Linked DNA regions of Drosophila melanogaster. The protein of the gene in region 1 purifies or fractionates together with the protein of each later gene. This does not show direct contact. Each region holds a gene or a part of one and is shown in the gene's direction. Other genes may lie near its edges.

Evidence for each region.
Region 2: the proteins of disp (region 1) and dlp purify together in Drosophila melanogaster (affinity purification with western blotting, with the first as the bait; one study listed by BioGRID). This does not show direct contact.

What each region holds. Positions count from the first base shown.
Region 1 is NT_033777.3:5,850,109-5,858,243, reverse strand, and holds the start of disp (dispatched), read left to right. Parts: upstream 1-1,932; 5' UTR 1,933-2,335; coding exon 2,336-2,491; intron 2,492-2,892; coding exon 2,893-3,900; intron 3,901-3,961; exon of another isoform or gene 3,962-4,031; coding exon 4,032-4,123; exon of another isoform or gene 4,124-4,140; coding exon of another isoform or gene 4,141-4,848; exon of another isoform or gene 4,849-4,912; intron 4,913-4,934; coding exon 4,935-5,477; intron 5,478-5,549; coding exon 5,550-6,188; intron 6,189-6,372; coding exon 6,373-7,353; intron 7,354-7,485; coding exon 7,486-7,723; 3' UTR 7,724-8,135. Other genes in the region: ECSIT, read right to left, coding at 344-1,573; CG34287 (uncharacterized protein), read right to left, coding at 4,141-4,848. UniProt on the Drosophila melanogaster protein: Segment polarity protein which functions in hedgehog (Hh) signaling.
Region 2 is NT_037436.4:14,630,913-14,635,891, forward strand, and holds the start of dlp (dally-like), read left to right. Parts: upstream 1-1,688; 5' UTR 1,689-2,160; coding exon 2,161-2,470; intron 2,471-4,979. Other genes in the region: RecQ5 helicase, read right to left, coding at 1-906, 969-1,071.

The sequences.
Region 1 (8,135 bases):
TACTTAATTAGCAATTAGAGGGAGGCGTTAAATCTTAGGCAGATCTTCTGTACACTTAGTTTCGGGTTCTGTGATTTTTCGTTTAAGCTCGGCTCACAATCGGATGTTGTGAGTAATCCTTCTCAATTAACCTTATTTCATTAAAATCCACCCCAAAATGCATACAATGTTGCTTTCAATTCGCGTCCGAGCCAAAGAGTATAAATAATTACCGAAGTATTAATTTTTTTCCTTCTAGCAGATGTACATATATATGTACATATGATCAAAACCGACTAACTTTAAGCAACATTTACCATCAATTCTATGGTATACAAAGACGAAAAAGTGCTCAACAATTTGTTTATTTCTGTCTACTGCTAATGTGCTCATCTTGACTACTGTTATCACTTGTTGCCGGGACACTGGCGCCACCTTCAATTTCCTCCGCCTTGGCTGGCACTTCGGATGTGAACCGGAAGAGGACGGGCACCTCTCCTATGGAGGGATTTCCGTTCGCTTCCAACAGGCGAATCCACGAGAGCAATGAGTCCTTTGTGGAGGTGCCTGTGGCACAGATGGCCATAATGGTTCCGTCGTCCTGTTGGTGGACAGAGCGCAGCTTTCCCAGCTGGTTGTGTCGCCTTGGTGGAGCACGACCAAAGAAGGGTACTTCGATGTGGGAGACATCGTCCTCGTCCAGCTGCCGCTCATCTAATTCAGACAGGAACTCAGAATCTGCATCAGCGCGCAGGGTAAAGTAGTTGATCCGGCGATTCCTAAGCCATATGTGAAAGGGTCCCTCGATGTACAGAGCTTTCTGGCGAGAGTGCTCCCGCAGCAGTTTCTCCTGCTCGGGACTCATTCCGCTCACGATCCACGTATCGTCAATGGCATCCTTCAGCTCGCTGGTCTCGAAAACCGTGATTTTGGACCGCAGGTCGACCGTGCACATCCGCTCTAGCGCCAGCTTGGCCATTTCCAATGTATCATCCGGAACAGGATCGGGCAGTGGCCACGGTGATAGGTTCTTAAACTTTGGCATCCAGTACATCATGCGCCAATACTTGCGCAGTGGATGTCCCTGCCTGCCAAACACATTAAGCAGCATCGCCTCCATCTCGTGATCGGGCATCACCCCGCAATCTTCCATCTGCTCAAGCAGATCAATGATACACTGCTGCTGTTTGGGGTAGTGCATGAACTCTGCCTGGAACATGTTGGTGGGTATGAACTTGCCCTTGGGCATCACGTTGATCAGGGCCTTGTAGACCTCCAAGTCTCTTTCCACCCCGAAATCCGCCATATTCTTGAGTGCCGCGTAGATGAACTCCACATGGTTCCGACGGTGGACGTCGCGCTCCTGGAATATCTCCACCATGGTCAGGTAGCTGTTTTTCGTCCTGTCCTGGGCGGCGGCAAAGGGGTTCCTTAAAGCCGGCAGGTTTTTGGTGCCGGGTTTTTGTGCCCTGGGATTTGGATTCGGGTTCTGTTTCGGATTTCCCTCGTCCGTAGCGTAGTTTCGAAAGCGGCTGACCAGCGAATGGCCTCCATTGCCGTGCAGCCGGAGCAGGCATTGTGCGCGGCGCAGCATTTTTTATTTATAATTAATTAATTGAATAAATTTGCAAATACGATTACAAAACATTGCACAAGCTGCGGAACTAGTTCGCGTTTTGCAGCACTGCTGCTGCAACATATGTTTTAATAGTGCCGATAGTCTAGCGTATTTAGCCAAATTTGGTAAATTCTAGGGCGAAAAATTGTATTTAGTTTCGGCTGTACCCAAAGATTTTCAAGCTTAAATAGTGTCATGACCGTAATACACGCTTAAAGTCATACGCTAGTAACAAAAGTTGAAGTGAATATTGCATAAGCTCATTGTGACTACCTTCACGAATCTCTTCCTTCGGAGAACAGCTGTTTGTCTGGCTTAGGGCCATCATCACTGGTGACTGAGTTGCTCAACACTGTATTAACTCAGTGTATCCTTTGTGCTGCTTTTTGTTGTTATTTCACCGTTTTCTGCGTTATCCTTATTCGCATAGTTTTCGGTTGTTTTTCTGTTGTTTAAGTTAGTTCCGAACCCTGAGTTATTTGCACGGGCGCGCGCCTACATAAAAATGCAATCCAACAAGCCGATCTCTGCGGCGGAGGCCTGACCAGCAGGCAGTATCTATAACAGAAGCAAAACAATAGACTTTGGCTTGGTCCCAAGGAGCACCCACCAGCCCAACGTTATTCGAGACTTCCAGCCGCCAAGGATGCACTGAAGGGAAGCGGAAACCCAAGGAGCATTTGATGTTCCCGCAATGCGAAGAGGGTAAAGAGGATTCGGGCATCACATTCTACTGACATGTTGTGCTTCGACTCGGAGAGGATGAACTGGTACTACCACGTCCTGGCCAGGCGTCCCTACCTGGTGGTCGTCTCCATTGCTGTCTACTGTGTCGCTTGCATCATCGTGGCCCTCGTCCTGAACAAGCTGCCGGACTTCAGTGATCCCACCTTGGTTTGTCCTATTAGATTTGTCCAAAACATGTTCACTGCTTGATATTTGGAGAATATATCTTATCTTATTTTACAATTATTTTTTAAAATATTGAGCACATGGAAATAATCCGAAAATGTCTAAATGATATTATTTTATTTAAATTTCGTTATATATCTATTTTTTTTAAATATTAAGAAGTTAAAATATTTTAAATATTCACAGAATTGCTATAAGAAACTACAGGATTACTTGTATACAAACTATTCCTGTATTATATTTTCATTGTTATTATGTTATTGTTGTAAAAATTGTGGAAAATAATAAGATTAATTTCTCACTAATATGACTTATTTGATCACTTTATAATGTGATTATTTGTCATGATTAATATTTATGATTCAACATTTATTTCACTTTAGGGCTTCGAAACCCGCGGCACCAAAATTGGAGAACGACTGACGGCCTGGTACAACCTGCTGCAAGAGACTGACCACCATGGTGCTCTTTTCTCAAATCCATCGGATCTGTGGGAGAGGAGACGGGTAGAGCAGGGCTATGTGGAGACGAAGCTGCATCCGAATCACAGGCGACGCAAAAACAAGCACAAGAACAGAAACAAGAACAAGCGACGCAAGGAACAAAATCAAAGCAGCCACGAGCATCACGATGTGGCGCAGAAGATGATGCAGTTCAAAAAACGGCTGAAGGCTACTAGTTCTCCCTCTCCAAATCTCGGCTTTGACACCTGGATCGGGGACAGTGGAGTATTTCGCGACTACGAGATTACAAACGACAGCGCTTCCTCCTCTTTGGAACCCACGCGACGCACTGAGCAAATCGAATATGGCCACAACACCACCTCAGTGGACGAGGAAGAGCATCAGCAGCGGGTGCAGACCAAGAAGAGCACTTGGCGGCTCCTAAAGCAAGCCGCCACCTTGCCCACCGACGGTTGGGCAGACATGCATCGTCGCCAACCCATCGAGGGATTCTTTTGCGATTCATCGCCCCGGAAGGAGTACTCTCATTTTGTGGTCCAGCGGATCGGTCCCAACGCCACCGATTCTCTATTTGATTTGAACGGACTGCTGGCCATGTGTCAGTTGCAGGATCAGATTACCGAAGTCCCCAGCTACCGGGCATTTTGCGAGCCGGAGATGCTTACCACCGAGTGCTGCCGGCCATGGTCACTGCCCAACTACGCCGCCATGCTGGCCAACAAAAGTTCCTGTTTCGACCTTACCACGGAGGATGTTACTTCGCTGCACACGCTGCTCTTGGGCTGCTATGAGTACTTCCATGACCTAAAGATGGACAACCACTGCAACGAAATACCGCATTGTCGTGCTCCTGAAGAGTGCAAGCGGCTAAATATCGTCTTTAACGTCCTGAATTTTCTCACCGACTTTAGTTTCATCAAGTCTAATGTAAGTTATTGAGTTTAAAATAAGCTTAGACCCCAAAACTCTTTTATTAAAACAGATTTGTATTTGTCCGTTGCTTTACTCGTATTGCATTAAATTCGACCATATAATATTGGCACTTTTTTTTTTTGTAGGACTCGAATGTATACCTGAAATACGCCATGATTTTTATACCCGTGGCGCAATCCAACCGCTTGCTGCCACTGTTCCACGAATGGGAAGACGTGTAAGTATGGAGCACAGCTAATATTTGCGAAATTGATACCGGTCGATGGGTGTGGAGGGCATTACATTATTTTTAGCTTTCATCAAGGCCGGAACGCATATGGTATCAAAATAGGTGGTCAAGTTGTACTTTGTGAAAATTTTTCGTAAATCGCTGGCGATTTTGTCCAGAGTAGTGTCCTTTAGCCTACGTTCTGGATAGAAGGAGCTCCTAAACGGCTCCGTTTCCTGCAGGAAATTGTAATAGCACCCATATGTGGTCCGATAGTCCTCGTCCTTGAGAGAGTAACCTTTTTTGTTCCTATAGCGCCGTCGACTTACAAAAGAAACGAAGTCATTCCGAGAGTAATCGTTCATGTACACCGATCTACGAAGGTCCTTCACAAAGTCCTTCAGAATTCGGAAATCCACAGGCGGATACATAAAAAATAGCTTGTAGATCCTTTCGTTACACCACTTGTTGCGCTTGATGAACTGTGCGTAGTCCTCCCGCCAGTCCATTGATTGGGGCCATGTCTTTGTTTTATATTCAATGCCACCAACCTTTAGATTTGCGCAGTAGTGACCACTTATTAGAGAGGGATCCTCTTGGGTTTTCTTAATCGGGGGATTGTAAACGGCTCTTTCAGTATGATCCACATAATCCGCTCTGCTGGTGGTTACAAGCACCCTCGTCCTTGGCAATTCCATTTTAATTAATTCCTTTTCCCGTTGAACTGGATCCATTTTGCAATTTTTTTTGTATTTTTCTTTTATTTAAAAATATTTTTGATGTTTTCTGTTTGATAATAATATTCTGAATGATTTTTCAGGGAGCTGATCAACGAGCTTGTGGAAGTGGTTGCGATGGACTTGGGCCTCGAAAACGAACTCTTTAACGAGCTGCTGCTGACGGACGTGTGGCTAGTTTCGCTGGGAGGGACATTCGTCATGGCTAGCGTGTGGTTGTACACGGGATCGGCATTCATCACCTTGATGTCCTGCGTAGCCATATGCTTTTCGCTAGGACTAGCGTACTTTTTTTACGCCATCGTGCTGGAGTTTGAGTTCTTCCCCTATATGAACCTTCTGGCCGTGGTAGTAATAATTGGCATTGGAGCAGACGACGTATTTCTGTTTCTTAAGATCTGGCACTGTGTGCTGACCGAGAGGTTCAGCAATCGATGTACCTTGACCACTCAGTCCCAGAGTGCTCTTCCCACCCTGGAGAACAGTGATCACACGGAGTCACTGGAAAACATAATGGCGCTGACTATGCGACATGCCGCTGCCTCCATGTTCGTTACCTCACTTACCACCGCCGGCGCCTTTTATGCCTCCTACAGCAGCTCTATAACAGCTATAAAGTGCTTTGGGTAAGTTAATAAAAGCAAGATTAGATGAATCTTAATATTTAGTAATGCTCATTTAATAAATTATATTTTTAGGATTTTTGCGGGAACTGTCGTGGTGACCAACTACTTACTAATGATAACTTGGTTGCCTGCATCGGTCTCCATCATGGAACGACTATTTGCCACAAGGATGTCCTGCCATCATCCGATGTCAATAAAGCTGATCCACGCCTGCAAGAAGTCAATTAACCGATTTTGTCAGATGTTTGAGGAGTGCATCACGAAAAGCATCATGAACTATGCCTATCTCTGGCTGCTGATCTTTGGGGCTCTAGGCGCGTCCAGTGCCGTCATTGTGTTCTGGTATCCAGGACTTCAGTTGCCGGAAAAATCACACTTCCAGCTCTTTGTGTCAAAGCATCCATTTGAGGTTTACTCCAGTCTCAAGCAGCAGTTCTGGTTCGAGAAACCATTGCAGGCGTACGAGAACTTCAAGATGCACATGCATTTCGTCTGGGGCGTTCAAGCGGTGGACGACGGCGACTATACGAACCCCAACTCATACGGCCACCTGCACTATGACAATAATTTTAACGTATCCAGCAGGCCGGCACAACTCTGGATCCTTGATTTTTGCCAGAGTGTGCGCCAGCAACCCTTTTACAAAGAGACTCTCGGCATGCTGTTGCCCAATTGTTTCATTGAAAATCTTATCGACTATATGAAGCGCAGGTGAGCATATACAATTATATACATACTTACAATGGCTTAGAAAGCTCATTAAAACTGGGTTCAGAAAAATCGATTTTGTTTACATTTGAAAGCTGGAACTGGTTTAGATGGATTAAGACAGGAGATATAGAGACACCAATACAATTTGCAATCATTAATAGAAGCTTTTGTTCATGTTGTTCAGATGCATCGATGATATGGACAGTACCAGGAAAGACCGTTCACCCTGCTGTGACGCACAGTTTCCCTTTGAGCCGCACATATTTGAGTACTGCTTGCCACAAAGCATATCCAACATGTATGACACTACATTTTTCCGGCCCGGCGTGGCAGGACCCAAGTTTGCAGAGGCTCCCCGACTGGAGACTGAGGATTACCTAGGAATGAGTGGAAATGAGAGTGCAGAGTACAGCACCAACGGATCATTTACACCGCTACTAGTCAAAGCCCTGGTCATCGAGTTCGAGTCCAACGTGGCCTACAGCACCATCTACGCAAATATTAGGCAGTTCTACGAGTCTGTAGAGCACTGGTTTCAGATGCAGTTAAAAACGGCACCGCCGGAACTTCAAGGAGGATGGTTCACGAGCGACCTGAAATTTTACAATGTGCAGGACACCCTTTCGCACGACACCTTTGTTGCCATTTGTCTGGCCATGGCTGCATCACTTGCAGTGCTCCTATGCTTCACCGTAAACATATTGATTTCCATCTACGCCGTACTAACCGTGTCGCTAAGTATTTTTAACACCGTGGCTGTGCTCATCCTGCTCGGCTGGCAGCTTAACATCTTGGAGAGCATTGCGGTGAGCACGGCTATCGGTCTGGCTGTGGACTTTAGCCTACATTACGGTATTCACTACCGGATGTCCCCGGTTAAGGAGAGATTGGCAGCCACACAGTTTGTACTATCCCGCATCATTGGACCCACAGTGATGGCGGCCACCACAACTGGTCTAGCTGGCGGAATCATGATGGCATCCAACATATTGCCCTACATACAGATTGGCGTCTTCCTGGTCGTTGTCATGATCGTTAGCTGGTTCTATGCCACTTTCTTTCTAATGAGTCTGCTTCGGGTTGCCGGTCCTCAGCATGGTTTTCTGGAACTCAAGTGGCCGTTGTGGAGCAAGCGAAGCAGTGGCAGCAGCAAGTTCTACGAGCGGTAAGGCTTTTATCGTATTGACCCTTTCAATTTTCTATATCTCTCTGTTTTGCGTTAATGTCATTTTTATCAAGCCTGACTGACGGGTGACTACCCGTTATCGGTTATTAAAACTCGAATTTCTTTGTGCAGGAAACCCAGCCAAGTGATCGCCAGCGAGCAGCTGCTGACCCCCACAAGCTCGGCCATCGTTGAGTTGGCGAACTCGGAGACGCACGAACTGGAGTCCCTAAACTCCAACAGCCTGATCAAAACCATTTCGGGCATCGAAAGCGCCCACGCATTGTCCTCGCTGCCGAGGGACTTCGAGCACTCATTCCAGACGATGCACGAGTGCAAATATCAAACGTATCCGTCTACATCCAATTGAGTTAGTTACTATTGCCGGACAACGCGTTGTTGTTGCCAAGAAGAATCAGGCAACTGCATTTTTATACAGGGTACGGCGGCTCTCAAGCCTGCCCGAGATACATTTATATATACATATACACGCCGTGTGTCGGCATATTTAGTTTTAAAATATGCTGGCGGTGGCATATGTACGTGTTGTGCGAGTTCTACATTGATATACTCTAGATATATGTGTAATTGTACTTGGTAGGATTAGGCAAAGCTATTTTCAAAAGACTCCAGGCTATTGCAATATGCTTTTATGCTTTTTTTTTATCTTGTGACATTTCACATTCGATGCTCCAGCCAAGTGAAAACGATTTGTAAACTGAAGCAATTAGCGGGAGGTACTGGGTACTCTGGGTACTGGGTCTTTGTCGGTAGGACTGTAC
Region 2 (4,979 bases), on another chromosome or scaffold:
CATTTTGGGGTACATCCCAGTGGATAACGAAGCGCACACTTGGTTTGTCCACACCCATTCCAAAACTATTGGTTGCACATATAATGGGCTGATCACCCCGCATCCACGCTTCCTGGACTTCAGTACGTTCTCCTGTTTTCAGACCAGCGTGATAGGCTACTGCTCCGATTCCCTGTTTAGTTACCCCTATCGCCATGCGCTCCACTTGGTCTCGAGTCCGGCAATATACGATTCCGCAGCCTCTTTGTGGCTTGGGTGTATCCTTAAACTCCTTCGGATTGCCCAAGCAGTGTCTGGCGAAATCTGCCAGGTGCTGAAAGTCATCTTCGATAGAATTCTTGTAAACAATGTCATAGAAGAGGTTTTTCCTGAAGCTAGGAGTGCTAAATTGAGCCACGGGTTGGTGGAGGCGCAACTGCTTATATATATCCTCCTTGACTTCCCTTGAAGCTGTGGCAGTCAAAGCCAACCAGATGACGTCGGAATATTTGGAACGCAGCTCCCCCAGCTTTAGATAGTCCGGTCGAAAGTCATGTCCCCATTGGCTAACACAATGCGCCTCGTCGACTGCAAAGTAGGCAAGCTTATTGTGTTTATGGAGGGTTTGCAGCAGGTCTTGAAAAAACTTGGTGGCGGCCTGTTCCGGGGTTATGTAGAGAAACTTCAGGTTGGTTCTCACGGCCTTTAAGTCCATTATAACACGATCCCTTTCTTTGGTGCTCATCTTGGAGTTCAAAGAATCCGCCGGCACTTTCAGTTTGGTTAAATGATCTATCTGATCTTTAATCAAAGCCAAAAGCGGAGAAAAAACAATGGTTATTTGATTCTCTGACATCAAACCAGGCAATTGGAAGCACAGGGATTTACCCGAGCCCGTGGGCATCGACACATACACATCCTGCTTTTCTGTAAGAGAATTACGAGAGGTATTATCTGCGAGATTGGGTAAGAATTTGGCCAATATTCACTTTTAACAGCGCACTTCACGGCTTTTTCCTGTAGATCCGATTTGAATTTCGAGTGGCCAAAATGCTTTTTCAGCGCCTCGTGCACAGCGCTTTCATGCGCCATACTTGGGCTGTTATTTAAATTGCGTTTTATTTAAATAAACATTGTTTTGCTTCAGACCAAAACTGGTTGCCGCCAAAACAGCTGGTTTAGAGATGAACAATGCGGCTAGATAGTGGCTTTCGATAGTGTGGACCTTCCTTTATCGATGTCACATATTTCGAATAAATTTAGATGTCCACACTATTTGTTTTGTACACAAAATATTTTAAATGTGATTAAATAGGCATTCATCTCGCCTATAAGCGCGACATGGAAGTTTTACTTTTTGTGATTAAATTATTCAAAAACCATTTAGCTTACCAACCAATTAATAAATATACAGTCGTGTGTTTGCAAACAAAAAAAATTTATGGTATGTATAATTGTATATGTATAATAATTTATATGTATGTATGTATTAACAGGACCAATCTATTTCTTGTAAAACTTTCGTTATTTTATTTTTAAATTTCACAACTTTCTAACAAACGTTTCCCAGAATGGAATTCTCATAGCCTAGTGACACTGTACATACCTAAAAACGGTGTAAGGCGATAGACATCGATAGCCGCGGTCACCAATCGATAAGCGCAGGCTGAAAAGAATCGACGGTAAGCAGTCGAAATTCAAAGAGACTTCTCAGTCAAAATTTTATAGCCGACTCGCGAGCACGCGCTGTGCTGCTTCTTCCTGCGTTGCGCGCTTTGCTTTCAATTCGCCTTTCGTCGTCGCGGGTGCGTGTGTGTTGGAGCGAGTGCGTCTATGTGCAGTGCGTGTGCCGCTATTTGTTAATTGTTAATAATCCCGATTTAATAACACCCGACAACCATGTTGCACTTCAATTGCTTCTGAACGCAAAATGCGCACTGATAAACGCAAACGACAAAAATAAGTTTCATAATAATAATAATGCCGGCAAACAAAGCGGTGTATTAGTGTGCGTATTTCAGTGTGGGTGCCTGCGTTTGCCAAAATTATTTACCGCAAAAAGAACAAACACAGTCAAAACGATTTGAATCCCAATCGAAACTAAACGACAACAAACGCCGGTGAAATTAGCCCTGTCTCTCGCTCTCTCTTTCCCCTTAAAATAAAGAAAGAGTTATCAAAATGCTACATCAGCAGCAACAACAACAACATCTGCATTGCAGAAGAAAAGCTACAGCAACAACAACTGCCCGCCTTGTGATATTCAGCAGTCCTCTTCTACTATTACTACTCACCACCCACTTGCCGCCCACCTTACAAGCGGACAATGGCCCCGCCCCCCAAGTGGCCGCCCTTGCCGCCCCCAATCCGGCGGGTGGCGTAGCAGGGTCTTCGATCATCGATCAATTCAGTCCGAATTGCAGTGCTGTGACACACATTTTCCAAGCGAGAGGAATCGATGCCATCGAAATTCCCCAAAAACCCAGTAACGGTATGTCCGATATTATATACCAATGGCTTAATAAATACCTGTCGAGAAATATTTATTATTGTAAATATTTAAATTTTAAACAAAGTTATAATTACTTCTTGTGGGTGAAATGTTCAGATCATAAAAATTTTTTTTTAATTTTGAAATACGCTTTAAGTGAAGGATATTAAAAAAAAAACTTAAAGATATTTTCAAGAACTCTGGTACTTTAGTAGGCTTATTATAACTTATTGCCTTCCCATATGGTGTCATTCAAATAGTACAAATTTTAATTTGTAGCGATGTTTAAAGTGCGAAATGGTTGAGGTAGTGCCATTCTTAATGCAAAAAAGATAAGAAAATCCATATCGTGGCAATCAGATCTTTTAAAATGTATACTTACATTGATATATGTAGTATGGAAAAGTATGGTTAGTATGGAAAAATGGACTATAATCTTTAATAAAGTTATTTAATAAGCTTAAAGACCATATTATTTATCCAATGGAATTAAAAACTCAAAGCAACTAATATTGGTATTACCCGAAAAAGAATCCGTATATTTCATAACAATAGTAAATTGCCGGAGATAAGAAACAAGTTTGATTCGCAAAGGAACAAAGAGAACTCGTGTATAAATTGGACGATTCCGTGATTCATTCTGTTCCTTCAACGCGCCTGCAGAGCTCCCTCCACTCCCTCCGCCCCCTGAAGGAAATAAAATTCCAGGCAAATCAACTCGAAATGCGAATAAGCAGCAGCACAAGACAGGCTCTAAATAAGAGAGAGTCCGTCGCGGAGAGCGTGTCCATCCCAGAGATCTTGGCGCATGCGTCGCCTGCTCATCGCAGCCCCCATTTCTGCCCCCGGTCCATTCCTACCCAGTGGGGGCAAAGGGTTCCAGTTTCCAAGACCAGTCCAATAGGCAGGAGCAGCCGCAGCGAAAAATCTCAAGAAATTCCTTTTTGATGAACAAAAAAAGGAAATAAAATGAGAAGAGCGCGGGCATACAGTAGAGCATCGTTGGCGTGAACTGCGTGAATTACCTTTTATATGTTTATGGGATATGCTATAAGAGTTATTTAAAACTGTTAAGGATTTCTTAATTATTTCTATTTTGAGATGCCATGTTTTACAAAGTTTACGAATCTTTTAAAGATATTGGACTGTGGAACCCATTTACAGGCTCTTTACCTAGTGCAAGAGCAAAAATGTTGTCACACCGCTTTTACACATAGTTTAATGGGGTATAAGGGGTGGAGAGGGGTAGACCTAGCCTCGACCTCGATCGCCTGTGGGTTTTACTTAATTTGTATAAATCCTGAATTAATCACGCTTAATTGCAATAAGTTGCGCTGCCCTCTCTTCGTCGCCTTCAGTTTCTCTCCCTCTCTCTCTGTCTCTCTTTGTTTGATTTGTTGCCAGGTAAACTGTTGCAGCCTCTGCCCTTTTGCCCCACCCCATACCCCTGTTCCAGTCCATACCCCTGCCCCTCCTTTAGTCCTCTACCTGCGCCCTGCCTTTGTTTATTTTTGGTTTTCAACGTTGCCTGATTGGTTTTTTTTCCCTCCCGATATGTTTTCCTTATTTTTTATCTTTTGGTCAAATGCATTGCGCGTTGCGTTGCGTTTCGTTCATAATTTCATGGAAATGTCTGTGGGGGAGGGGGGCGATGAGGGGCCAACAGGTAGAGTGGTCAGTTCTCGAGTTCCCTTTTGTGTTGTCTTTGATATTAATCAAGGTGTCATTGAAATCGTTTAAATTATGCAGTTCAGGATTTTTATTCTCTGTCGGCATTTTTATGTGAACCTTTTACTTCCCGATCAACTCGAACCCCCGTCCCTTGGCCATCAAAAAACGAATGCACTCGAATTATTAAAGCTAATCCGTAAATAATATTTTAATAAGTTTTTCTGGTCCAGTAGGATTGCAATCAATAAATAATTCAATTTATGTTGACGTATTAACATTTTATTCATGTTCATGTGATTGTTATTCAGTGCTTTTCAAACAATAAAACAATTAAATATTTAAATGGAAAATTATTTATAATAGGACAAATTTTAATAACAGATTTCTTAAATTTATGCTAAGCTAAAATGCCATTATTCTTTACATTTAATTTTTCCCAGTGCACAGCTTCTCTTTCCACCGTGTGAGTCATAAATTCTTGTGTTGCGTCCTCTCTTCTCGTTCGCTTCTTTCCATTCCCTTTCCATTCACCTGACCCCCACCCTTCGCGCCTTGTCCGCCTGATAAGCGCCAGCATTTAGATAAAGTTTCCGACCTGTTCTTTTCCCATGCCTTCTCGAATTGCTTAACTGGGAACTACTTTTGCGATAGGTGTTTATAGGGTCTTCTGGATGGAGTTTCGTGGTTTTGTAGGCCAGCTAACTGGTGAGGCTGTGCGTCTGATAAAGCTAAACTTCCATTTGCGATAGGTGAACTAGTTTATGAAACGTAGACTTTTTGGGGCCAACATATTGTCGTAGGGAAGTTCTTCAAATTGACTAAGGTTGGTCTTCGTTGA